Linked DNA regions of Drosophila melanogaster. The protein of the gene in region 2 purifies or fractionates together with the protein of the main gene of each other region. This does not show direct contact. Each region holds a gene or a part of one and is shown on either strand. Other genes may lie near its edges.

The links.
Region 1: the proteins of Cdc45 (region 2) and Psf2 purify together in Drosophila melanogaster (affinity purification with western blotting; 2 studies listed by BioGRID, with this or other methods). This does not show direct contact.
Region 3: the proteins of Cdc45 (region 2) and Mcm6 purify together in Drosophila melanogaster (affinity purification with western blotting; 3 studies listed by BioGRID, with this or other methods). This does not show direct contact.

Annotation. Positions count from the first base shown.
Region 1 is NT_033779.5:4,385,682-4,388,985, forward strand, and holds Psf2 (partner of Sld five 2), read right to left. Parts: upstream 1,676-3,304; 5' UTR 1,639-1,675; intron 1,390-1,638; exon of another isoform or gene 1,333-1,389; 5' UTR 1,328-1,332; coding exon 1,083-1,327; intron 1,025-1,082; coding exon 658-1,024; 3' UTR 501-657; downstream 1-500. Other genes in the region: Vps53 (vacuolar protein sorting 53), read right to left, coding at 1-141, 202-297; Tps1 (Trehalose-6-phosphate synthase 1), read left to right, coding at 3,044-3,177. UniProt on the Drosophila melanogaster protein: The GINS complex plays an essential role in the initiation of DNA replication.
Region 2 is NC_004354.4:1,024,510-1,035,861, forward strand, and holds Cdc45 (cell division cycle 45), read right to left. Parts: upstream 6,048-11,352; 5' UTR 5,819-6,047; coding exon 4,908-5,818; intron 4,856-4,907; coding exon 4,039-4,855; 3' UTR 3,782-4,038; downstream 1-3,781. Other genes in the region: CG3021 (uncharacterized protein), read left to right, coding at 2,384-3,037, 3,126-3,641; Rpp21 (ribonuclease P/MRP subunit p21), read left to right, coding at 6,334-6,500, 6,560-6,944; CG14630 (uncharacterized protein), read left to right, coding at 7,015-7,601, 7,914-8,547.
Region 3 is NC_004354.4:6,672,610-6,684,588, forward strand, and holds Mcm6 (minichromosome maintenance 6), read left to right. Parts: upstream 1-1,777; 5' UTR 1,778-1,896; coding exon 1,897-4,350; 3' UTR 4,351-4,567; downstream 4,568-11,979. Other genes in the region: CG3198 (uncharacterized protein), read right to left, coding at 11-954, 1,028-1,129; ND-ASHI (NADH dehydrogenase (ubiquinone) ASHI subunit), read right to left, coding at 4,754-4,966, 5,043-5,272, 5,391-5,475; Fum1 (fumarase 1), read left to right, coding at 5,921-6,007, 7,217-7,348, 7,689-7,889, 7,959-8,763, 8,828-9,090; Fum2 (fumarase 2), read left to right, coding at 9,227-9,304, 9,361-9,525, 9,610-9,813, 9,897-10,701, 10,762-11,021; Pink1 (PTEN-induced putative kinase 1), read left to right, coding at 11,948-11,979. UniProt on the Drosophila melanogaster protein: Acts as a component of the Mcm2-7 complex (Mcm complex) which is the putative replicative helicase essential for 'once per cell cycle' DNA replication initiation and elongation in eukaryotic cells.

The DNA.
Region 1 (3,304 bases), on a different chromosome or scaffold from region 2:
ATCAATCAGGGACACCTCGCACTGCATCTTTTGGATGGTCTCATCAATACCGGCCAGCGATTGCTCGTTGGGGAAGAGCTGGTTGATGTAGTCCACAGTGTTGAAGTCCGGCGCATCCATCGGATCGTCCGTTTTGAGAACCTTTTATGGACATTCGAATTGGGTTGGTAATTGCTACCAACATATGTTCCACTGACTCACCTTGTCGATGACCTGCTTCACCTCCTTGGAGAAATGGATTTTGTTGTTAGCAACCATCCTTTCTTCCGGCTCCACCGCTACCGCAGACTCGCTCATCTCGCTTTATCCTTATTTATTTGTATAAAAAAGTTATTGTTATTCTCTTCGTGGAAAACCAGGGATACAGTGCAATTATATGATAGCAGCTGCTGTTAAATTGCTGTCGTGCTGTAAGGCGCAGTCCTGTTAGATAAGCGCATATCGATAAAGAAATTTATCGGAATTTGAAATGCCTTATCAAAAACTTCTAATTCTAATTACTTTTTTTAATTTTCTGAAAGCATTTATATTTAATTTTAAGCATACAAATATTTTTGAACTTTTGAGAGGTTTAATGACTACAGGCTACATAAGCTCCTGCTAATAACTAAATCTATTATCTTAAATGTTCCCAACAATGTTGTTTGACTGGAATAATCACTGAGAAAACAGAGAGTTACTGTTCGGACCCGAACTGGAGCCTGCCATGGATGCACTTAGCATGGAGGTGTCCCTTTGAGACGCAGTGGCCGTGCGCTGGTACCGTGCTATGTGGTCCAGGGAATAGGGCAGAATGGGTCTCACGCTGTGGATCTCCAGAAGCGTGAGGTTGTCTAGCTTTGCATATGTGCCCTCTCCCTTGATAAAGGCGTCGATCGAAGTGCGCAGCTTGGACTCGCGTATGTCGAAGATGTCCTTGATCACAGTGCGCAGCTCCTCGCAACGCGGAACGTCATCCGGAGCCGTGCTCATGACCAACTGGGCCACTACCATGTAATGCTCACAGGGCATTTTGGTAAAGAACCTATGGGCAGGCGGAGAATAAGATTTGCTTTCCACGGGCATACCCACATCATACATACTTTGAGCGCTTTTCCTCCTCCTTGATTTCCTCCAATATATCCATGTCCATCCATTCTGGAGGTACAATTCGGCACTTTTGTTGCTTGCGCAGATGCGTGGCCATCCACAGGGGCACGAAGACGGGAAAACCGGCTCGGAAAGGGCCCACAGGTCCGTATATCAGGTGCAGAGGCTCGTTGCTGAAGTTCGGTATTATGCTGATCATGCATTTTTCGCCAATAAATTCAATAATTGAAGGATCCATAATTGCTATAAACAAACAAAACAAATGCGGGAACATACGGTCACTCGAGCGGCCAGTGATGACACCTGTCCGCTATCGATCTCAATGCTATCGACCCAGTGATCTCTGCAGTCTGGCAGCCCAGCTCTGCTATTGACCGTTAATAACGGTGTTGTTTTCCCAACAATCTGCTTGCATCACGAATCTTTCGCCTGCGGGCTCTGCGTCAATTTAATCACGTCAAACTATAGACTTCTGCGACATAATAGCCACAGTTCGCCACTATAAATATGCCAACCGTAATTCGGCGACCTTCGGCCGGGTTATCTCACCATCATTACCACTATCGCCGGCCGGATCGGATCGCATCGCATTGCTGCACCGCTACAACCGATGGAGCTGACTAATTTGTTCTCCCGGTGCGAATGTGTTATTGCAGATTCCGGCTAAGGCGACGACAACTATCAAGAATCACGTAAAACGCCAGCCGGGCATCGTGATAAGCGCATGAATGCCAAACATGATCAAGCGTTCAAGTTCAGCCAAGTTTTCCGTTCTATAATATATAAGCTGCCCGGGCGTAATCCCTTGCACCACTTCGCCGTAAAATCCGAGACTAAAATGCACTAGATAGCCTTATCGGTCTTGTATCTTTCCGGGCAAATAAAACTATACGCCCGGTAATGAACTCCAGAAATGGCGGTCATTACAAGGTTAGATCTGCACTAGCTGGAATCCCAAACTGAACAGATTTCAACTGCAATCTGCAGACAACTTCGATAGAGAAACGAAAATAGAAATACAAATCTTCTGTGTACAATTCGGATGTTCTTTATAAGGCTGAGCCCGAAGCGTAAACAACAGCATCGATTTGTTGACTTATCGCATCGAGAGACAACATCGATGAGATGGAATGGGATGGGTGGTGGTTAGGGGGAGGAGGCGGAGGATGATGAGGTTGTGGCCGTCGTTGCCGTGAAATGTTCCCGAGCTGATAATACCAGGCACGGCCAGTTAATTCTAGAAAACTATCTGCGGTGTGTAAACTGCGGCACCGATAGTTCAGATCACATCCCCATGACATCTAACCCCTTCAAGGATCAATTGGGTGAACACTTGGCCACTAGGCCAGGACAGAAGCGGTAGGTATTCTCCTGCGCAGGTTTCGATTCTCTCACATCCGCTGGGAAAAATGTAATCAGCGCGAGAGGAGCAGATGCCGGACGATTTTCTGATAAGCCGGAGAGTGGACTGTGGAACCCATGATGGAATGGGTGGAGGGGGTTGGCTGGCTGGCATTAATTTTTAGCAGAAAAGTGCGACTTGATCGCCTAGTTGGCTTAGTGCTTGTCTATTTTCGGCAGGGTACGGAGCTGCTGGCTCTCGCGACCATCGAAACTAACGTAATCGACTCACCGCCAATCAGCCAGGAAAATTGCCTGCCATTTCCACGTAGAATTGCATCTGAGAGTAGCTTTGATAAGAAGGCAGTGATTGACTTGGCTTCGAGCAGTCTTCAGTCATCGATCAGCGCATCTCGAACCAAATTCGGCAACGGTCGCTCTCGCTTCGGAAGAACGGACTCGTTCATTGATAAGCCTGGATTTGAACTAGACGGTTGTCTAACCTCCACATCCGCGAATTTTCCCATACGCTGTTGTCAAAAATTATGTGCTAGACTTGACCGCAGGAGAAGATTCGTTTAACTCTTCTACAGCTAGCTTACCAAGGATCACGATGCCCGACACGGAAATCATCGTTACCAATGCCGGGGAGCCCTCCACCAAGGCGAGTCTCATCGTGGTATCCAATCGGTTGCCGTTTGTGCTTATCCGAGATCCGAAGACCGATGAGTTGGAACGCAGGGCCAGGTGGGTACATTAAAAAAAAAAGACTTATATAATCCAGTTTAACAAATACGTGTTCTAAATTAAACTTTTCAAACGACAACGTTTTAAAGGAAATTAAAAACAAGTGAAAAGAAAACAAAATCGATGT
Region 2 (11,352 bases):
CCCACACACACGCAAACGCACGTATGCAACTGGGTTGACAAGTTGAAACATGATCCAATTCATTAAATGAAAATTATATTTTATGATTCAAATTGCATTTCCAAGGCATCCTGCACTTGCGTGAGTGAGTGTGTGTGAAGCGTGGAGTGTGCGTACATATACGTGTATTGCCCTACACTGAAAAAAAAAACTGTTCCTAGCCATTTTGATCGATTCGGTTCCCCCACACGACAAATCTAACTAAACACACCCAATTCGCATGTCGAACGCATTGCAAGAACCGATTCTAGCCAGCAGACCACCCCTAAGAGCCCCTCCAGCTAAGAAGAACCGAGTAAGGGCAAGGATAGTCCCAAATCAAAGGAAGTCCGCGAAGAAAGTCCAGCGATCCGACCACCAGAAGGCAGCGGGACTCCAGCGCCTTCTTTGGGCTCCACTCCTCTCCACTGCAGCGGGAAGTAAGCCACAAACCGGACTGCAGCACCGACCGCCCAAACCGCGCAGGAACAGACCGCCGAGGGAGAGGCCTGATGCACTGGTTATCATCCCATCAGCTGGCTTACCGTACAGCGAAATGCTGTCGCTGGTCACAAGAGGCCAAGACGCCATGCTCAGGGTCATCTGAGAAAACGTAAAAAGGGTTAAGAGGACGGCCAAAGGTGAACTGCTCCCCGAACTACGTGCCTCTGCCCAAGACTTGACACAGAAGCTCAAGTGGACATGGGAGCGGTGCTTCGAGACCGCGCCAGCCTTCGCGCGGTAACACAATCAAAAGTATTTTTGATTCGCGACCTTGACGAGCTTACTACTGAAGACGAACTGAGGTGGGCCTGGAGTCCCAGACAGAGATCACAGCAGCAGTGTTGGCAATCAAGAGCCTCTGACAAACGCAGTATGGAGGGAAGACTGCTGAAATAGCAGTTCCAGCCAATCTGGCGGAACCGCTGATCACGCTGATCACTGACAGCGGATGCTAGAGGCCGGACCCAGGTTCAGGTGGTGGAGACTCAGCGAGGAATACACTGCCAGTGACCACTTGGCCATCATTTGCGACCTAGGATGCCCTTCCTCGACCCAAGCCCAGACAGCAGCCCTAGCCATGATGAAATACAAAAAAACATGCAAAGAACATCGACGGGCATTCGTCATCGCAGGTGCATAAAAGTTCATGCTTTTTGTCGAAATACTCTGCAGTATGCCGATTTGCCACGAAAGGAGAGACGGATAAATAACGGATGAGGGCGAAAACGTGCAATCAGAAGTGGCTCTTCTCTAACACACACACACACACACACATCTTCACTCGAAAAAAAATGGAGTTGCTGTTGTTTCCTATTTCGAATGTTTGTTATGGAAGGATAAATAACAGATGAGGGAGAAAAGAAAGCGTGACACACACACGCACCTTAAAAAAAAATGGAGTTCTTGTTGTTTCACAACTTATACACTTTACTTCACAACTGTTAGCGACTTATTATTATTAAGTGGGTTTGTAGGTGTACTGCGACCCAGTCGGCTCTATTGTACTACTACCCCTTCATGACTCAACGATCCCCCTGAAGTCCAATGCACTGTATAAATGCCAGAATTTTATTGTGGTTCAGGGGATTCTGTTTCTCTTGATGGCCAAGCGCCATCCATGCAGCAGAAGCGACAGAGTTCACTTCTGCAATGCCAATTTGTACAAATGGCTGTGAAGCCGGCAATGCCCCGTAAGAATGCCGAGTCAAAATGCGCACGGTGTCTAGTCCCGTGTGCGACTAGAATGCGAGCATAATTCTCAAAAACTGCATCATGCCCATTTGCGGAAAAAAACAGAAAAAAAGAGACGGATAGATAACGGATGAGGGGGAAAACGTGCACTCAGAAGTGACTCCTCCCACATACACAACACACACAGTGTTCACTCGAAAAAATGGAGTTTCGGTCGTAAAAATGGAGTTTCGCTCCTTTCCCATTTCTACAGTTTGGTGAGAAAATATTACGGTTAAATTACTGACCTACCTTAACTCGAAAAAATGGAATTCCTGTTGTTTCCCAGTTCGAATGTTTGTCGAGGAAAGATAACGGATAAAATTACGCACGCACCGTTACTCGAAAAAAATGGCGTTTTTGCTGTTTCCCCTTTCGACACGCGCAAATCCACAATGCGCGGAGCTTTGCTTCATGGCCCGACTGAATGAACTGAACTGACAGCGCATTAAACGCCGGTATTATTAGTGTGACCACCGATGCGATAGTTTATAATACCATGGTATACCCAAAATAAATACCAAAAACTAACGGAAAGCACATCAACTGTTTCTGCCGCATAAACAAAAACTGCTGTTCGTCTAACGTGAAACACATAACTTTGAAATTATTGCTTTGCCAACACCGCCCAATGATTCGCAACGTAGTGGTGGGCGTGTCGGGCGGCGTGGACAGCGCCGTTTCCGCCCACCTGCTGGCGGAGCAAGGATTCAAGGTGCTGGGTGTGTTTATGCGCAACTGGGATGAGGCGGACGAAGTGGGTCGCTGCAGTGGGGAGGCGGATCTGAAGGACGCCGAGTGGGCGTGCCGGCAGCTCGGCGTGGAGCTGCGTCAGGTGAACTATGTGCGCGAGTACTGGACGGCGGTGTTCAGCCAGTTTCTGGACGATTACCAAATGGGCTTGACACCAAATCCGGACATCCTGTGCAATCGCCACATTAAGTTTGACCTCTTTCACAAGCACGCCTTGGAAAATCTCGGCTACGATGCCGTGGCCACGGGTCACTACGCCCGGAATAGTCTGGGCAACTACCTGGAGGGGATTGCCTCCAACAACGACGCCCGCTTGCTAATACCCGCCGATACGTTCAAGGACCAGACATTCTTTTTGGCAGGTATTTCCCGAAAGGCTCTGCAACGCACGATGTTCCCTTTGGGAGACTTCCAGAAGAGCCAGGTCAAGGACTTGGCCAAGAAGATTGGCTTCCAGCGACTGGCCAAAAAGAAGGAAAGCACTGGCATTTGTTTCGTTGGCAAACGCAACTTCAAGGACTTCATACAGGAGGTAAAGCACTTGCCGCGATTGAAAAAGCACATGGCTCAATTTCCTTGATTTCACCACGGACTCAAATCTGGTTTCCCTCCACTTTCAGTACATCACTTCCAAACGTGGTCCCTTCCTAGACATCGACAGTGGAGCCGTTGTCGGCCACCACGAGGGCATCCATCAATGGACTGTGGGCCAGCGGTGCCGTCTGAGCTCATTCCTTCAGCCCTATTTTGTGGCCAGGAAAGAGGCCGCAAGCAATACCATCTATGTGGCATCTGGCCACAACCATCCCGCCCTTCTCAGCACCCACATAGCCGTCGATCCGCCCAACTGGCTGTGTTCCAAGTCCCAACAGATTCTTTCGGACACTGGCAGCTTGAGGTGTCGCTTTCGATTCCAGCACACCAAACCATTGGTGGACTGTCAGCTGAGCATCTCTCCCAGTAACACTTTTCTTGTCGAGTTGGACGCTCCTTTAAGAGCTATTACACCAGGACAATATGCCGTATTCTATGACGACACAGCTTGTTTGGGTTCGGCCCGCATCCTCAGCGCTAATCCCCTAAAGAAAAAAAACGCACAGACGCAGCAAGCTCAAGCCGCAAATCTGGTTAGCTAATGATGTTTCCTCTGAGCCAGAAAATAAACCAAATGTAAGAAGGCAGTCCAACTGCCAACACGGCATGTATAGATAGCATGGTAAATACGTTTTCATAAATTTAAGCGCCGAGTAAATTTTAGACGTGAATCGACACTTTTAATTCCATGGTAAACACTTTAATTTAAATTTATTATTCTAGGTCAAATTTACAATTAGTTTTTGAAAAAGGACATTTTGCATTTTGTGGTCCTGGGAGCAATGATAAAGTTATTAACACACAATCGTACATAAATAGGGTTTGGTAAAATCTTAAACTAAGTGTACACGTGAGGTCTCGCGATATAAAACTAGCTTAGCACATAATATGATTGAGCAGGGATGTGTCGGTAGCAGGTAGAATAGAAAGCGGCGTGGATTAGGCTAACAGCACCGTGAGGGAGTCCAGAAAGCGTGTGAGGTCGCTCTGCCGCAGCTGCACCACCGCTGGCTCGAAAAAGTCCTGCAATAGAGCGACTCCACTCTTTTGCGCCGCCTGCTCGAAGGCCTTGCCAAAGAAGTTTCGCGGAGAGTCTTCCCTTACCGGGACAATGCCTACCAGCAAGCACATGCCCTCCGAAGCGTTCAGGGGACAACTTGCGATCAACGGCAAGTCCGAAGCCTGCCTGGCTCTACTCGTGGCCACATGTCCGCGCAAAAGAAAGCGAGCCAACAGTCCAAGGGCATAGGGGTATGAGAAGAACGCGTGTTCCTCCTGCAGAACGTAGTAGAAAAAGGAGCCCGCTGAATGAACTTGGCGTGCCTCCAAGCTGCTCTGCACCTGCCGAAAGACAGCAGCATGCAAAAGCTTCGCCTGGTCGATGCCTGCAGACAGCAGCTGCTTGTGCTGACGACTCAAAGCATCCGAGGCCTCCAGAAAGCAATCCTCCGGAGTCTTGTGCTTCTTCACGGACTCCATGATGGCGAGCAGGGCATAAACGTAGTCCGCCGCAGCATATCTGCTGCGGTAGCCGTAGCTCAGCGTAAAGGTGCCGTAAACTATGTCCGCTATGTCGTACTTCTCCGCCAGGCGCTCCACCATCGAGAAGAACTCCTTGCGCAACACCAAATCCATGGCTCCGTACGTTTGGCGGGCGTGCACCAAGGGAAGTCCCATCTCGAGCAGCAGCTCGTGTAATCTCTTCTCTCCGCGCAGTGTCCACAGCTTCAGCTGGCATGAGGAGTAGCGGGAATACCTACGATTATACTACATGATTAAATGGCATAGAATACACTGTCAATGCTCACCTCATGGATTCCGTGACGGGCCAGTGGCGGTACAAGACCAGATGCAAATCATTCTCGAAGGTTATCTTGGAGGCACTCATCGTGTTCTGATCATTCGTTTTGTTCGTCAGTCGGGACACATGCGACTGGATTTGCTCCAGCTCCAAAGTATACGCTCCACTCTCGATCTTGCCCAGCAGCAGCTGCTCCGTGATGCCCACAATGGCCCACCAGAGCAGGTCCATGTTGTCTTTTGAGAGCTTCCAGGCCAACTCAAAAACCATCAAAGCGGCGGACCTGCCGTAGTAGCTGAACTGCGTGTACTCGAACATAATCCTGTCGCGCTCAGACTCCCACTGTCGGCGGGCTCGCTGCTTCAGGATGCGTTGCTCGTGCCGCTCCAGGCGACTGAGCTTACGGCTCCTTGGCGCCTGATCCTCCTGGTCCGATTCCCCGGCACCACTGTCGTCGTGCTGCTGTTCCGTGTCAGAGGACTCGTCCTCATCCTCGTCTTCACCTTCAGAGTCATAGAAAATTGTCTCGAACGCTGGAATATTCTCCTCCAAGGAGGCATCCCCCAAGATGCACACCTGCCGATCGCTGTAGATGTTACACACATCCAACGGGCGATGTGAATCGCATATGAAGAAGGTCACGTCGTCCGACGGCTGCAGGAGCTCCACAATATCTACACAGCCGCCGCAGTTCACCAACACCACGTACTTAACGTCGCCCTGGTGCTCTCCATAGGCCCGCTTCAGACCCGTAACGCCCATTATGGGCACCACGGTGTACAGCATGTGATCGTACTTGAACAAGGCCTGCAGGATGCGACTGGCGCAGATGGCATCGATGTCGTAGTTGACCACGATCAAGATGCGCTTGCCAACCAGCTGGCGGTAAAAGTCGTTGCGCAGATCCTGGACAAACATGGTGAACACTTCTGGCGGGAATCCCAATCGTCTGCCTAATCTGTCTACGTCTAGACACAACGGTCTCTTTCCAATCGCTTACGATGCAAAGTAGAATTCTACATGAGTGCAGTGCGTTGCATTTTGAGGGTTTCCCTGCGGCTTGCGCTATTTTCCAGCTTCCCACTGCCGCTCCACTTTTGCTTTTCTGGCAATCGCAATTGGCGAATCAAAAACGCGGGAAACAGCTGGCTTAGCCAGTGTGACCAGTGTGAAATAATGGAATGGCGCGGAAATACAATCGTTGCTGGGAAAAGAATATTCTGCGAATTTCCAGAAATTTTGAGCTGCCAAAAACCGAAATTATAATCACATAATGTTGAATTTTGAGAGCTCTTTGCAGTTGCTGCTATTGCAGTAGGAGCAATATCTTGGCGCTCCAGATACGGTCACACCGCGACGCCCATGTGTTTTGAATTGCCACAAAAACGAAAGTCTACCAGTCGACCAGCTTTGTGCGACAAAAGCCTCAGAATATGAGCAGGGACAACAAGATGAAGCACCTGACCCAGCGGGCCATCTCCTCACGCATGAACTACCTGTTCCAGGCCTCGAATTTAATGGCAGTAGGCAATCAACCAAAATTGGCCGCCTATTATGGCAAACTCTGCCGCAATGTGGGCACCAAGGCTATCATGCACATGTAAGTGGCTTCTCCAGTGGAGTATGGGCAAATAATTCATGGCGTCAACTGGTTTCAAGGGCCCCGGCCGTGAAGCGTTCCCTGTGCAGGCGCTGTTTCCTTCCCCTGATTCCCGGAGTGAATACGGAGCTGCATGTGGAGGAAGGAGCACAGGAGGCCAAGACTGATGCACAAGCTCAATCGAACGGAGCAGTCAAAACGAAGAAAAAGCGCCATCGCAGGCAGCGCAAGAAGCCCAGAAGCCGGAAAACAGGGAACACCAACCAGGAGGAATCCGAGGAGCAAATCCAAGAAAGTACTGAACAGGTCTCTTTTTTCTTAGAGTGCTCACTCTGCTGCGGCCGGCGAAGCTTTGCGGCGAACAGTCAAAGAGACTGCTGGTTGGAGCAGCCGCAATCCATAGTGCAAGTGGTCTCGCTCCCCAAAGAGAAAGACGAGCGATAAGCTGAAGCTTTGCTTATCAGCCAGCCTGCCTGTTGTGCCATCACCTGATTGCTCGGCAGTTGAGCCTGGAATGCTTAGCTGTAGGCAACTTATTTCTCGGCTGAGCCTTCTTCGGCAGGCGAGCACATTTGCTTGTGTGCGACTATGCCCCGACTATGTAGAAGTCCAGGAGGAGCAGGGCAATCTCCTGAAGTACCCCCAAGTTTGGCTTAGGGACAACTGTCAGTGTGCCGAGTGCTTCCACGCCGCCACAAGAGCAAGAAAAAGTCACTGGGATCGTGGCCCGCTGAATATACCAGTGTCCCAAGTGGCCTACAACAAGGAGAGGAAACAGTTGGAGATCATCTGGCAGGACAAGCACAGGAGCACCTTCGATCTAGGCTGGCTGAGGGAAAGGGACTTTGGAGAGACTGGCAGAAAGCATTACTTGGAGGAGGTCTACAAGCCACCCGCTCAACTCTGGGGAAAAACGGAGTTCGAGGATGTGAAAAGAGAATTCCAATACGAGGATGTGCTGGAGCAAGATGCAGCCCTGAGAGTTTGGCTTGAGGCACTGGCAGTCCAAGGATTCGCCATTCTGAAAGGGGCACCCAACGACATAAATGTGGCTAAGAAATTGGCCGAACGAATTGGCTACATAAAACGCACCACCTACGGGTAAATATTAACCAATAGATGACATACTTCATCGTACAGTACCAGGGTCATAAAACTCACATTTGCCGAGAGCTGTATTATCTATCAGTCCACTAAATATTATCACTATCGGTTGATTGTTACAGCCAGAATCAGGCAAATATTTTCAACCAGGTGTCCATTTGTACTCATGATAAAGATTTGATTACCACTTACTCACGCTAGATACTACTACAGAATATGCTAGCCACATTTCATAAATTAAAAGGGAAAACACCTTAGTTGCATTACTCAAGTTCAGCTATAAATTATCTACTATCCCGCCTCCCCTAGCGACGTTTTCGAGGTTAAATCCAAACCAAATGCGCGCAACTACGCCTATCTAATGACTCCCCTGCCGCTTCATACCGACATGCCCTACTACGAGTACAAGGCGGGCATCAACATCCTGCACACCCTCGTCCAGTCGGAGTCAAAGGGTGGAGCAAATACGCTGACAGATGGCTTCAACGTGGCCTCGCAGTTGCAAAAACTGCATCCGGAGGACTTCGAGGTGCTCAAGTCGGTGCCCGTTAACTGGTTTGACATCGGACACGACGGCGATGACTCCAAGCCCTTCCACAGTCTCTGGAGAGCGCCAGTAATTTGTTTGGATGTGGATGGCCGGTTCGCGAGGATCAACCAGAACACCACTAAGCGGGACAGCCGGTTCTCCGTTTCCCTGGCGCAGGCCGTGTCCTGGTACAAAGCCTACGATAAGTTCCTTGAGATCGCCCAGTCCGAGGCGGTGGAGTTCAAGACCCAAGCCGGCGATGTGTTCGTCTTCAACAACCTGCGAATGTTGCACGGAAGAACGGCTTACGAGGATGCGCCGGGCAACAAGCGTCATTTGGTGGGCGCCTACGTCGACTGGGACATTATTTACTCCAAGCTGCGAACCCTGAAGTTCCCAAATGCCAAGGATTGACTGAGGGAATGTTGTGAGATTTAGTTGAAATGTAACTGTGAATTAAATGGTTTTTTTTTACACATGGCACAGCGAATAAATTTTGGGAGGTGTATAAATATTGTGTCTCAACTTGCAAATGAATTTCACTTGAAACGTGTTTGAATCCTACGATGAACGGCGCCGATACTATCGATACAAGCCCAGTGGTCGAGCACTTCTCGATACTGCCGTGGTTGAGTAACTCCGCTCTGGCATCGCGATAACATCGATATAACTGCCACCTCTAGCATAATATATGTACTACATTTATACAAATATAAATATAATGGAAATATGAGAATTTAACCAAACACCGCCCGAAATATGAGTGTAGTATGTGCCTATGCAATATTAAGAACAATTAAATAAAATAGCATATTAACTTATGGCAGCACTTTGTTGCTATGTTTATGTTTATGTTTATGCACGCAGTTAGGCCAGGGCGGATGTAACATGATCACCCACTCGAAGGCCACAAAGTATAAGTGCATTGCCCACTCGAAGGCAAAAAGTATAAGTGCATGGTCAGCATTCACACGCCGACCAAATACATATTACATACGTACATACATATCTCGCTCTCCCGATAAGCCTAGATATATAAGATATACATAAGAACGCCGCTCCGCTGCTGGCGTACCCGGCAGCGCAGCTACGCGGATTAGCCTAAGTCCAAATATATTAAAAAACTGTAAAATCAGGGAGAGACTCGGTAGACGTTGAGCTGACAGAACCATTTCTGCCTACTCTAAAATCAAAAGAAGAAATTGAATAAATATATGTCAGCCCGACGGCTGCCTTCAACTTAAAACGGACTTGTGTTCTTAATTGGAGTTCATCATTACATGGCGACCGTGACAGTCGTCCAACGCTGGACGAATTGACCAAAGCTGGTGAAAACAAAGGAACAAAGGAACACTGGACTGGAAGAAGACTGGACTAATTAAATGGAACTGCAAAAACCAAGGAAAAATCTGAGTGAGTAGAGTTCTATTGAGTATGGGCAAACACCGTGGCGGTTTGAAAACTAAGCTGAATAAACGTATAGCCCACGTAAGGTGGCTAATATACGGTCAGCAAACGCCACCGGTTTGGTCGAAAGCTCTAAAGCTACATGCAGAGCTAGACCACTTGTTGCAATATCAGCAAGAATTAAAGACCCATAAGCTCGAGAAAACTCACTCAGATAATATTAAAAATATACCCACAATTAATGAAGTTCCAAAATACCAGGCATGTCCAGCACCAGCACCAGCATTAACAAAACCAAAGAAGTCCTGCCCCCCCTGGCTGCGAAGGAATCTGGAGTCCCCACTGCCTGGGGACTTGTGAGCGACCATCGACGTCTTCAGCGGCGAAGAAATAGACAGCAGCGAGGGAGTGTCAGCGTGCCACCCCCGGCGACGCCCAGCTGACACCCAACAAATAGACAGCAGCGAGGGAGTGTCAGCGTGCCACCCCCGGCGACGCCCAGCTGACACCTGATGAGCATCATCAACAGCAGAATATAATAATAAATATATATAAATATAAAGTAAATATAAAATATATATAGATAAGAAAAATTGTAAGAAATATTGTAAAACGGAGCATATACTATTATGCCCTGTTAACCCAATATGGCCCGTGAAGCCATAGCTAGAATCAGGCAGGCAACAATGTAAAATACAATTTTTTTTTACTCTTGCGAACATTGAAAGATTTTATAAATAGATAATTCCAAACATAAATGTCTATAGAGACAAATGAAATAAGTAAAACTGAAAATAAAAGTATATACAAAGGAAATTTTCTATTCTATTCTCCAAAATATAAAATTAGTATACCCAAAATGGGTCTAATAGACACTAAAACTGTGGACTCTACAGCCAATGTAATAAATAAAGTAGAAGTCCAAAATGCAGACTTGTTCTGGATAACCATAATACTAATTGTAATTGCATTAATTATGGTATCCAATGCATTAATAAAAATATACAAACTGCATAACAAGTGTCTTAAGAAACGATACCGTAGCACTGCTAACGGTATAGATAATATTTAAGGAAGATCTTTAATAAAGTCAATTATGAATGAAAATATGAGAAAAATTATATGAAAAAAAAAAAAATAATAAATAAAAAAAAATATAAAACGTAATATTGAATTTATCTACATTAAAAAAAAAATATATACAAATGAATAAATTTGAAGTTATGAGTATACCACAGCATGGACTGGGAAAAGCTTGTTGATCAGATAAAAGATCAAAATGAAAATTTCAGAAAATCCTATAAGTGCTTAACGCAAAACAGATCAACACAAGCTGTAACAATCAATAGGAATGCCCAAGTCTTGGTAAATAGTTATAATGAAATCAGAGAGTTGATCCAACAAAATAGAAAGAATTTGGAACGCAAACAGTGTGCTAAGGCTTTGAACCTACTGGTGACATTAAGAGAAAAATTAATATTTATAAAAAATAAATTCAGTCTCCAGATAGAAATTCCAACCATAGTAAACACCCCACTAAGAATAAATTTGAATGAAGACAGCACTAACTCTGACGAGGAAGATAGGACTATAGTCAAGGAAGACATTAAAGAGGAAGATCTTCACGATCTAACTATACCAGCAAAATTAATGCTGAAGAACGACGATAAAACAAATAACGCAGCCGACTCCGAAAATAACTTAACCATGGCAGAAGAAGCAGCTGCCATTAGGTCTTACATTAGGGAAGTCGCCTGCACAGTGCCAGAATTTGATGGGCAAAAGATCCATTTACAAAGATTCATTAAGGCA
Region 3 (11,979 bases), 5.6 Mb from region 2:
GAGACCTTACCGTCTGCTATCGTAGGAGTGGAAGCGCTGCACTCGACCCTCACGTCGACGTCGTTCCTCCTGCTCGCGCTCCTTCTGTCGCGCCTCGTTGATCTCGGCGACGGCGTTGCGCAGTTTGGAGTAGCCCAGATGCTGTTTACCCATCAAATGGTCCTCGATCCGCTGCTGTGCATCGCCGACTATCAGGAAAGCGCCACAGATTTCGCACACCTTCATTTGTTTCTCGGGCATGGCATCATGCGACCAGCCAGCCGCCTTGCTATCCGTCTTCTCTGACGTTTTGTCCTCGCTGGCTGCACCAGCTGCTTCACCGGCATCGTCAGTCGTTGTGACAGCTGCTTGTGCGGAACTTGGAGCTGCATCCGGCGCTTCATCTAGCGTGGTGGCGGCTGGAAGAGGAGTAGTTGGACTTTCTTCGCTGGGATTTGTGACCGGACTGCTGCGCGGGTGATGCTGCAGCTCGTCCTCCGCTGACTTGGTCAGGCTGATGCTGCTGATGGCCTTGTGATGGGCCTCGTATTGCTGTACCAACTGTTCCTTCTCCTCCTTGAGCTCCTCGCACACGGTCATTAGATCTTGGGCCTGGTCCACGTCACCCCGAATGCCGGCTTCCTCTGCCTCAGAGAGCAGCTTATTGATCCGGGCCGTCAGATTCGCAAGCTGCTCCTGGTGCCTGCTCAGTGGCGCCGGTACATTGGGCTGATCCCTTTGCATTAGCAGCAAACGCTGTTTTCCCTTCTGGATCTTTCGATCCACATCGTGCAGCATAACATTGCAAAAGCGCAGGAATTCATCCTCGTACTGACGCTTCCGCTGCGAGGGTCGAGCATCCTCGTAGAGATGTCGGGCTTCCTCGTCGTGGATGCGGGCACAGGGGCCCAGATCTGCGCGCGTATTTATGAATAGATCGTGCGGACAGAACTTAACGTTGTAGAACTGACAGAACTGCGGACAAAAAAAAAAACCCCCATTATTTTGGAGGTGGCTCTTTGGCGCGCCACATCCTGAGCGTACTCACCTCCGGATCCTCCCAATTGACCTTGGCGCCCGCCTCCGAGGGATGCAGGTTGCGATTCCTGCCCATCAGCTCGTCGAGCATCTGCCTGGCGGCGTCCACCATTTTCCGGGGCTCCTTCGCAATTTGTGGGGACAAAACTCCGAAGGGGGCGGTGGTCCCAGTGAATCAAATGAATCCAATGGTACCACACCGACTTCTATGGCCACAACGGTGCCGGCGAACAGGTGAACACACGTGCAACGCTGTGCTCCTGCTGTTTAGCCAAAAAATTAGCCAAAATAGAATCAATAAAATTATTTCACGAAATTCGCGTGGTATCGATTATTTCGGAATAAGCCTATCGGTGCACAGCGTTCCGCGACATGAGTGGGCGAACTATCGGTCTTAAAAACGTACTAAATTCTATAAGTTCATAAAATAAACAACTTAAGTTGAATGTTTTAATACTTTACTCGTATAAAATTATTCTTATAATTCATGTCATTCATCTCTTGGATTATTAAGTTATCCGATTAAGTTATTAAAACAACGTATCTCAATCAACTTTTGGACTATTTGATCTATTCAAAAAATTCGAAAACTACTTGTTGATTAGCAAGGGCAAGAAATTTAAGTAAGCTTTCAGCAATTAAAAAAATATATATTTTTATATATATTTGAACTAATAAATTAATGTGACCGTAAGACATGTTTACCTTTGCTCTTGAATAGCTGGCATCCCTGCGCACGAGCGTTGCCACCCCCAAGCAACTGTCAGAAAAAGGCGCCAAAACCGAGCAAAGCACGCAGCTGTAAACATTCGCAAGAAACGAAAGCAATCTCGGAATTTAGCGCGCAATTCACCAGTTTGAAGCAAGAAGTGACCCAAAATGGATGTGGCAGATGCTCAGGTTGGCCAGCTGCGCGTAAAAGACGAGGTGGGCATTCGGGCCCAGAAGTTGTTTCAGGATTTCCTCGAGGAATTCAAGGAGGATGGCGAGATCAAGTACACGCGCCCAGCCGCCAGCTTGGAATCCCCGGATCGCTGCACCCTGGAGGTCAGCTTCGAGGATGTGGAGAAATACGATCAGAATCTGGCCACCGCCATTATCGAGGAGTACTACCACATCTATCCGTTCCTTTGCCAATCCGTTTCGAACTACGTTAAGGACCGGATTGGACTGAAGACCCAGAAGGATTGCTATGTGGCCTTCACGGAGGTGCCGACGCGTCACAAGGTTCGCGATCTGACCACCTCCAAAATCGGCACCCTCATCCGCATCTCCGGCCAGGTGGTGCGCACCCATCCCGTACATCCGGAGCTTGTTTCCGGCGTCTTCATGTGCCTCGATTGCCAGACGGAAATTCGGAACGTAGAGCAGCAGTTCAAGTTCACCAATCCCACCATTTGCCGCAATCCCGTGTGCTCCAATCGCAAGCGTTTCATGCTGGATGTGGAGAAGAGTCTGTTCTTGGACTTTCAAAAGATTCGCATCCAGGAGACGCAAGCCGAGCTGCCGCGTGGCTGTATTCCCCGCGCGGTGGAGATTATCCTGCGCTCGGAGCTGGTGGAGACCGTTCAGGCTGGCGATCGCTATGATTTCACGGGCACTCTGATTGTGGTGCCCGATGTGAGTGTCCTGGCCGGAGTGGGCACACGGGCGGAGAACAGTTCACGCCACAAGCCCGGCGAGGGCATGGATGGCGTCACTGGCCTAAAGGCACTGGGCATGCGAGAGCTCAACTATCGGATGGCCTTCCTTGCCTGCAGTGTTCAGGCAACGACAGCACGTTTTGGCGGCACCGATCTGCCCATGTCGGAGGTGACAGCCGAGGATATGAAGAAGCAGATGACAGATGCCGAGTGGCACAAGATCTATGAGATGTCCAAGGATCGCAATCTCTACCAGAATCTAATTAGCAGCCTCTTTCCCTCGATCTACGGCAACGATGAGGTCAAGCGGGGCATTCTTCTGCAGCAATTCGGTGGCGTTGCGAAGACCACCACCGAAAAGACATCGCTTCGTGGCGACATCAATGTGTGCATCGTTGGCGATCCCAGCACGGCCAAGTCACAGTTCCTCAAGCAGGTATCCGACTTCTCGCCGCGTGCGATCTACACCTCGGGCAAGGCATCCTCGGCAGCGGGCTTAACCGCTGCGGTTGTGCGCGACGAGGAGTCCTTTGACTTTGTCATCGAGGCGGGCGCCCTCATGTTGGCCGACAATGGCATTTGCTGCATTGACGAGTTCGATAAGATGGATCAGCGCGATCAGGTGGCCATTCACGAGGCCATGGAACAGCAGACCATATCGATTGCACGCGCCGGCGTACGAGCCACACTCAATGCGCGCACTTCGATTCTGGCCGCCGCCAATCCCATTAATGGTCGCTACGATCGCTCCAAGAGTTTGCAACAAAATATTCAGCTATCGGCACCGATTATGTCGCGATTCGATCTGTTCTTCATTCTCGTGGACGAATGCAATGAGGTGGTGGACTATGCCATTGCTCGCAAGATCGTTGATCTGCACTCGAACATCGAGGAGTCCGTGGAGCGGGCATATACGCGCGAAGAGGTCCTTCGCTATGTGACATTTGCGCGGCAATTTAAGCCGGTTATTAGCCAGGAGGCCGGACACATGCTGGTCGAGAACTATGGCCATTTGAGGCAGCGCGATACGGGCACGTCGGGCAGGAGCACCTGGAGGATAACGGTGCGTCAGCTGGAGTCCATGATTCGACTGAGCGAGGCCATGGCCAAGCTGGAGTGCTCGAATCGCGTGCTGGAGCGACACGTCAAGGAGGCCTTCCGTTTGCTCAACAAGTCCATCATTCGCGTGGAGCAACCGGATATTCATTTAGATGACGACGAGGGTCTGGACATGGACGATGGCATTCAGCACGACATCGACATGGAGAACAATGGAGCAGCGGCCAATGTGGATGAGAACAATGGTATGGACACATCCGCCAGCGGCGCCGTGCAGAAGAAGAAGTTCACGCTTTCGTTCGAGGATTACAAGAATCTGTCCACCATGCTGGTGTTGCATATGCGCGCCGAGGAGGCGCGCTGCGAGGTGGAGGGCAACGATACGGGCATCAAGCGCAGCAATGTGGTCACCTGGTATCTGGAGCAGGTGGCGGACCAAATCGAATCCGAGGATGAGTTAATTTCTCGCAAAAATCTCATCGAGAAGCTTATCGATCGCCTCATCTATCACGATCAGGTCATTATTCCGCTCAAGACATCCACGCTGAAGCCGAGAATTCAGGTACAAAAGGATTTCGTGGAGGAGGACGATCCCCTGCTGGTGGTGCATCCCAACTACGTTGTGGAGTGATCCCAGCCGATCAACAGTTTATTACTATGCCCTAAATCTAGCTGGTTAAGTTTCTGTTTCCGCGTCTTGCTTTTTTTTGCTCACCCAAACAAACAATGTATTTAGGCAGTAAGTTTATAGTTTAGAGACATTATTGAAATCCATTAAGGATTTCTTGGTTCAGTTACGTTCCAAATCATTCATGTTTTCGCCGAAATAAACGTTCATCTCAAGATTCATTTCGTTTTTTGCTGCTCATTAAGAACGGAATGAAAAATGCAACCCAACATGCGCAGTCAAAATGATAGCAAATCCATGTTTTAGCTTGGTTTCCATTCATTTTAATTGTATAGATGCGTTGATTAATTGCCTATGAAATAAAAACGAGGCGCGCAGTGCGATCGAGAGCGTGATAGATACAATCCTACTTCTCGAAGGTGTAGTGCTTGACGCCAGGGCTGGGATATTGCTTGGCGGCCACGGGGCGGTACATCTTCTTGTCATCCAGCCAGTAGTAGAGTGCCAGGCAGCCGGACATCACGCCCAGGAAGCAGGCAAAGTAGTACGCATTGCTGTAGCGTGGCGGTTCGGCCTGCGACCAGCGATCCTCGCTGTACAGATCATGATCCGCCGAGATCTGCAATGGAAATGGATCAGGGTTTGACTCTTTTTTTATGCAGCAGCTGCTGCTAGCCGTTGATGTTGGCGCTTACGGGCTCGTGTTGGTTGCGCTTGTGCTCCGGATAGTCCCAGGGATAGTACGAGTCCTTGGCCTCCACACCCAGACCGTAGCCCAATTTGGGATAATCTCCGTAGCCCAGACCATCGTCCGCATACGGTTTGTACTCCTCCGGCAACAGATAGTACTTCTTGGCCGCCGCCAGGCGCTCCTTCTCCGTCTGTGGATACGGACCCGGCTTGTAGTCCTTATTCCAGCCAGCCACTAAAACGTAAATGGCGAGAAATTCGAATTTGTAGCCATTCGGTGCATGCAAAAGTTACGTAAACAAAACAGTGGGGCAGGTTGCACTGTTGCCAGCGCAGCCCCGATTCACACTTACTGCTGCGGATCGCCTGGCGAGCCACGACGGGATTGGCGGCGCACAGCTTTTGGGCCAAGCACACGGTTTTCACAAACGCCGACATTGCAGGCTTGTTTCCACTAAAAAAAAGTTCCTCTGAAGTTACGATTCCCGAAAAAACAGCTGTTCGCCTGCGGATGGCACACAAACGATAGGATACAGTGCCGCAACGGTCTGCTATCGATAGTTGTAGTTTCAAAAAAAACAAATAGAACTATCAACAGATTTTAAATTTGTTAGCTATGGAATAGGAATTTACAGTTAGTACTAAGGTAACTAGGTGTTTCTTAAAAATGTTTAGGATTTTTGTTTCTCAATTTTTATGAACTTAGGCAGCAATCGTTACAAAGTCGATAAGAACAATCGATGGTCCGATAGCTCTCACCCGCGCATCGAGGTGCTGTTGTTGTTTTTTGTTGTTGTTGGTGTTGTTGTGGTGGGCTCGTCCGTGAAAGATCACTTGCTTGCAAACTTATTTATTAATTACCGACTAAGGAATAAGCATAGAGATGGTGCTACCATTATTGCAACGCTCCACGCTTCGCGGCGTTCAACAAATGACGAAACCCTGGGCCGCCATTGGAAGTTTGCGTCTGGTAAGGATTCCAAGTGCTGTGCAAATTGGATATATATTTTGTAGCGAGATGGCAAAAATATTTTGCCTTATGTAATGCTAGATTCGCCCATGCAGCGGCTAATAACTCCAAAATATGTTATTTTTTTGATTGTAAACAAGGCGCGGCGAGCAGAAATGCCAATGAAAAGTGCACAAATGCCGGCGTTTCGTAATCATTACACAATGGAAAGCGGAGGCGAGCGACTTCCAGGCGCTGGAACGGACGTTCCAATTGGCACACCACTGCGACCACTTGTGGACGAAACTCCAATTGGCGCGCGACTCCAATTGGAAGCCGTCGCATTGATTTTTTCACTCAATTTTCGCAAACGTTTTTTATTTTCATTTCGCACTCAAAACTCAAATCACATGATTGAAAACAAAACAAACTCACGGCGTTGAAAAAAAAAGGGAAAAGAGAGAACCATAAACTCGCGAAACGAGTTGTAATTCAAGAAATTGTGCTAGTCAGCGAATTCTTGTTTTTTTTTTTCGGCAATTGAATTAAAACCGGTTAATTATATATGGTACTAGATGAATGAACGACCACTGTAATACACTACCGATTATTCAGATAATGCTGCATATAAAACATATGTATATAAGACACTAGATAGTAGAGCTACAGTCCGGCGTAAATTCCACCCATAAATCCCGAGGAACAGCGCTGGTCACATGAATAGCACTGGAAATGCAAAAGTTCGAATCAGTCTGTTTTTATAGAATTGCTATTGCAATTATTATGCATACAATATACATATATACACAAATATAGTTCGAGATCCTCGCACTACTTTCGTGCCCCCTGCTGTGTGCACCCCATGCCCAAGTTGGGTCTTTCATATTCAGCGCCCAGTGCTCGGGCATTCAACACCTCCCACCAATTCTGCGGGAAGTTCGCTCGTTGAGAGCGCTCTTTCAAGAATCTGTTCGTTGTACACTCGGCTTTTTGGTTTTGAATCCCCCTAGCTTATCGCCTCTGCCTTTCAATGCCCGAGCACGCCTCAGTTAACATCGAGCAGCAGCCGTCGTCGAGTGGTCGTCCTCTGATTTGTTCACTCTGATTGCCATAGTCTCAATTTGGCTTCACTTACTTACTATCTGTCATATCTGCATCTGAAATGGTCTGCCCCTGTGTTTACTTACTGATAATTATAGCCATTCTTATCGGATTCATTCGCATCGACAGGCCTCCCAGGAGTTTCGCGTGGAGAGCGACACCTTTGGCGAACTGAAGGTGCCCGCGGATAAGTACTATGGCGCCCAAACGATGCGATCCCAGATCAATTTCCCCATCGGCGGAGCCACCGAACGGATGCCCGTAAGTAGTGCCCCCCACTGCCTCCATCTACGTATACATATAATTCTCACGTAAATCTTTCGAAAGTATTTAAAAGTCAGCATTGAAGGTTCAAAAAGCAGCAAGGTCTAGCTAATTACTAAGTAAAATATGGCTTAAATTAAGCTTCTATTACAGAAAGCAGAACAAATGGTGAATGCTAGTTCAATGAGTTTGTTCATTGTAATTCAGAGTCTATAGAAAGTTAAAGTCTAAAAAATGTATTAACTACATTAACATAACACACAAGTATGTTGCGTAAAGTAAAAAATAAGAAGAAAACACATTGAAAGCAACTAAAACTCTCGTTAATCCCCGCCAGAAACCCGTGGTCCAGGCCATGGGCATCCTGAAGAAGGCCGCCGCCGAGGTGAACAAGGAGTTCGGACTGGACAGCAAGGTTAGCGAGGCGATCTCGAAGGCGGCCGACGATGTGATCTCTGGCAAGCTATACGACGACCACTTCCCGCTGGTCATCTGGCAGACGGGCTCGGGCACGCAGAGCAACATGAATGTGAATGAGGTGGGCATGAGCGGTCATTTGTTTCATTTGCACTATTCTCAAATCTCCTCTAACTCTCTAACTCTCAAGGTGATCAGCAATCGTGCCATTGAGCTGCTGGGCGGCAAACTGGGCTCCAAGACGCCCGTGCATCCCAACGATCATGTGAACAAATCGCAGAGCTCCAACGATACCTTCCCCACCGCCATTCACATCTCGGTGGCGCTGGAGCTGAACAACAACCTTAAGCCGGCGATTAAGACGCTGCACGATGCGCTGCGTGCCAAGTCGGAGGAGTTCAAGGACATTATCAAGATCGGACGCACGCATACGATGGATGCGGTGCCATTGACGCTGGGCCAAGAGTTCAGCGGCTATGCCCAGCAATTGGCCTACGCCCAGGAGCGCATCGATGCCTGTCTGCCGCGCGTCTATGAGCTGGCTCTGGGCGGCACTGCTGTGGGTACGGGTCTGAACACACGCAAGGGATTCGCCGAGAAGTGCGCTGCAAAGATCGCCGAGCTGACCAGCCTGCCCTTCGTTACCGCGCCCAACAAGTTCGAGGCACTGGCTGCCCGCGATGCCATGGTGGAGGTGCATGGTGTGCTCAACACGATCGCCGTTAGCCTGATGAAGATTGCCAACGATATTCGTTTCCTTGGCTCCGGACCGCGTTGCGGTTTGGGTGAGCTCTCGCTACCGGAGAACGAGCCAGGTAGCTCCATCATGCCCGGCAAGGTGAATCCCACGCAATGCGAGTCGCTGACAATGCTCTCCGCCCAGGTGATGGGCAATCAGGTGGCGGTGACCATCGGTGGATCCAATGGGCACTTCGAGCTGAATGTATTCAAGCCCCTGATCGTGTCCAATGTGCTGCGCTCCATTCGGCTATTGTGTAAGCTACCTATTACCCACCCTTGGTGGAACGCCAAATCAATCGAATCTATTCCTTTTTGTAGCTGATGGCAGCAGGACCTTCACTGCCAACTGTGTGAATGGCATCCAGGCGAACCGCGAGAATATTGCCAAGATCATGAACGAGTCGCTCATGCTGGTGACCGCTCTGAATCCGCACATTGGTTACGACAAGGCTGCGAAAATTGCAAAGACGGCGCACAAGAATGGCACCACACTCAAGGAGGAGGCCATCAATTTGGGTTACCTGACGGAGCAGCAGTTCAACGACTGGGTGCGACCCGAACAGATGCTGGGACCCAAGTGAAGTGGAGCCAAGTAGGCCGACGACGAAATCCATCATTCAATCATCGCTGTCATCGGAATCGCAGTGTGATTTTCTAGATCAGATCGTTTTGTTGTATATGAATCGCTCGGAAACACAGAACCAATAATAATTGAAAATGCTGAAGCAAAACAATGGTCTGCATCTGGCTAGGCGCAATCTCTGGGTGGTTTGCAGTGGCCTCCGTGCCAAGGATGTAAGTACGCGACAATGGTCGCTGGCAACTCATGGCTACATGGGGCATCTTTGCAGTGCGACAGTGGCGGTAAGGGCGGCAAGGGCAAGGAGAATGGCAAGTTTCGTACGGAGAAGGACACCTTCGGGGAGCTAAAGGTGCCGGCGGACAAGCTGTACGGCGCACAGACGATGCGCTCCAAATTGAATTTTCCCATTGGCGACATAGGCGAACGTATGCCGGTAGGCAACCAACCAACCAACCAACATATTCTGGCATCTACCAAGTGCTTTGCCATAGCCAATTAATCCCCAAACTGCCCGCAGATGCCGGTGATCCAGGCCATGGGCATACTGAAGAAGGCATGTGCCGAGGTCAACAAGGATTACGGACTAGATGGCAAGGTGTCGGATGCCGTATCCTGCGCCTGCGACGATGTCATTTCCGGCAAGCTATACAAACAGGGTCACTTCCCATTGGTCATCTGGCAAACCGGTTCGGGCACCCAGACCAATATGAACACCAACGAGGTAAGATTGTTAGATAGGGCTAACGAGAGAAATGTGTATAGCTGGATGCTTCTCCTGCCCCATGCCATTGGCAAACCTACTAGGTGATCAGCAATGCGGCCATTAAGATGATGGGCGGCGAACTGGGCAGCAAGAAGCCGGTGCATCCCAACGATCATGTGAACAAGTCGCAGAGCTCCAACGACACCTTCCCCACGGCCATTCACATTTCGGTGGGCATGGAGCTGAACGAGCGGCTTGTTCCGGCGGTTACACACTTGAGGGATGCCCTCAAGTCCAAGTCGGATGAGTTCAAGGACATCATCAAGATCGGACGCACCCACTTGATGGACGCAGTTCCGCTGACTTTGGGCCAGGAATTCAGCGGTTATACACAGCAGTTGACCAACGGTCTGGAAAGGATCAAGGGCTGTCTGCCGCGCGTCTATGAGCTGGCTCTGGGCGGCACTGCTGTGGGTACGGGTCTGAACACACGCAAGGGATTCGCCGAGAAGGTGGCCAAGCGCATTTCGGAGCTAACCTGCTTGCCCTTCGTGTCGGCGCCCAACAAGTTCGAGGCACTGGCTGCCCGCGATGCCATGGTGGAGGTGCATGGTGTGCTCAACACGATCGCCGTCAGCCTGATGAAGATCGCCAACGATATCCGATTGCTGGGATCGGGTCCGCGTTGCGGTCTGGGCGAACTAATGCTGCCGGAGAACGAGCCCGGTAGCTCCATCATGCCCGGCAAGGTGAATCCCACGCAATGCGAATCAATGACCATGCTGTGTGCCCAGGTGATGGGCAATCAGGTGGCGGTGACCATCGGCGGCTCCAACGGGCACTTCGAGCTAAATGTATTCAAACCCCTGGTCGTGTCCAATGTGCTGCGCTCCATTCGCTTGTTGGGTGAGTCGGAAATGTGTTTTCCAAGTGGAAAAACATGCATACATAACCTTCTCCTCCCAGCTGATGGCAGCATGACCTTCAGCAAGAACTGCGTGGAGGGACTGCAGGCCAACAAGGAGAGGATCGACAAGATCATGAACGAGTCCTTGATGCTGGTGACCGCGCTGAATCCGCACATTGGCTATGACAAGGCCGCCCTGATCGCCAAGACGGCGCACAAGAATAAGACGACCTTGAAGGAGGAGGCACTGAAGACCGGAATTACCGAAGAGCAGTTCAAGGAGTGGGTCAATCCCAAGGAGATGCTGGGACCGAAGTGATTCGCTGTGCGGCTATTGACGATTTTGTTTTAGTTTCGTGTAATAAATTTTTGTGTGTAGCAGGATATTTCAATAGATTGTATTAATTTGTTGATTTTACGGCAGGTGAATAACGGTTTTTAGTTTTTGAATTCTCCAAATGATTCGAGTCCACACTACGCGATAGTCATTATCGATTCTAAAGATATACCGTAAGTGTGGTCACACTAACGCCTTGCTGTTTCTAAATTATTCCGTTGTTTTTATCGTAAATTCTTGCACACTTAGCTATTATTTTATAGCGAAATATAAGCAAAGCAAGCTTTTAAACAAGTGTTTATTGCGGCGCACATTTTCCGTGACAAATGAAAAGATCCAGCTGACCAGCGATTATCTAACGACCAAATCGAATCGAAACGAAACGTTGAAGTAGGCGCATTACATTAAAAATTGGCTGCCAGGCAAGTTGGAGGTCGTAAATTAATCGTTTTGTTCAGTTGAAAATAGCCCAAAATCAGTCTAGCCCACACAGATATCGAAAAAGGCGATATATCTTTGGATAATCATTGCAAAAATAAACCCTTTCGATTCGACGATTTCGCCTTGTAGTTCTGCCACCACCGCCCCCACACTTCGCCCCGCAGCTGCACCACAACCACCACCACCCACAAACAGAAAATTTATTTGCGACGCAAAAACAAAACAATCGAATCGAAACGAACCGAACCGAAACGAAACGACAGCAGCTGTTTGGTTATAAATCGGCGCTATCGATCGCACACATGAGCAAAATTGGCGGAGAAGAAGAGGAAGCAGCAGCAAGAGTTAAGCACCACAAATCTTAAAGAATAGGTAAAAATTAAAAATTAAATTAATAGATGACAGACCGTTTAAGGTGCTTCATTCAGTTGCAGGCACTAGGAGCCGAGGTCTTTGCGGGCCGAAAGATGTCTGTGAGACTGCTGACCGTGCGACTGAT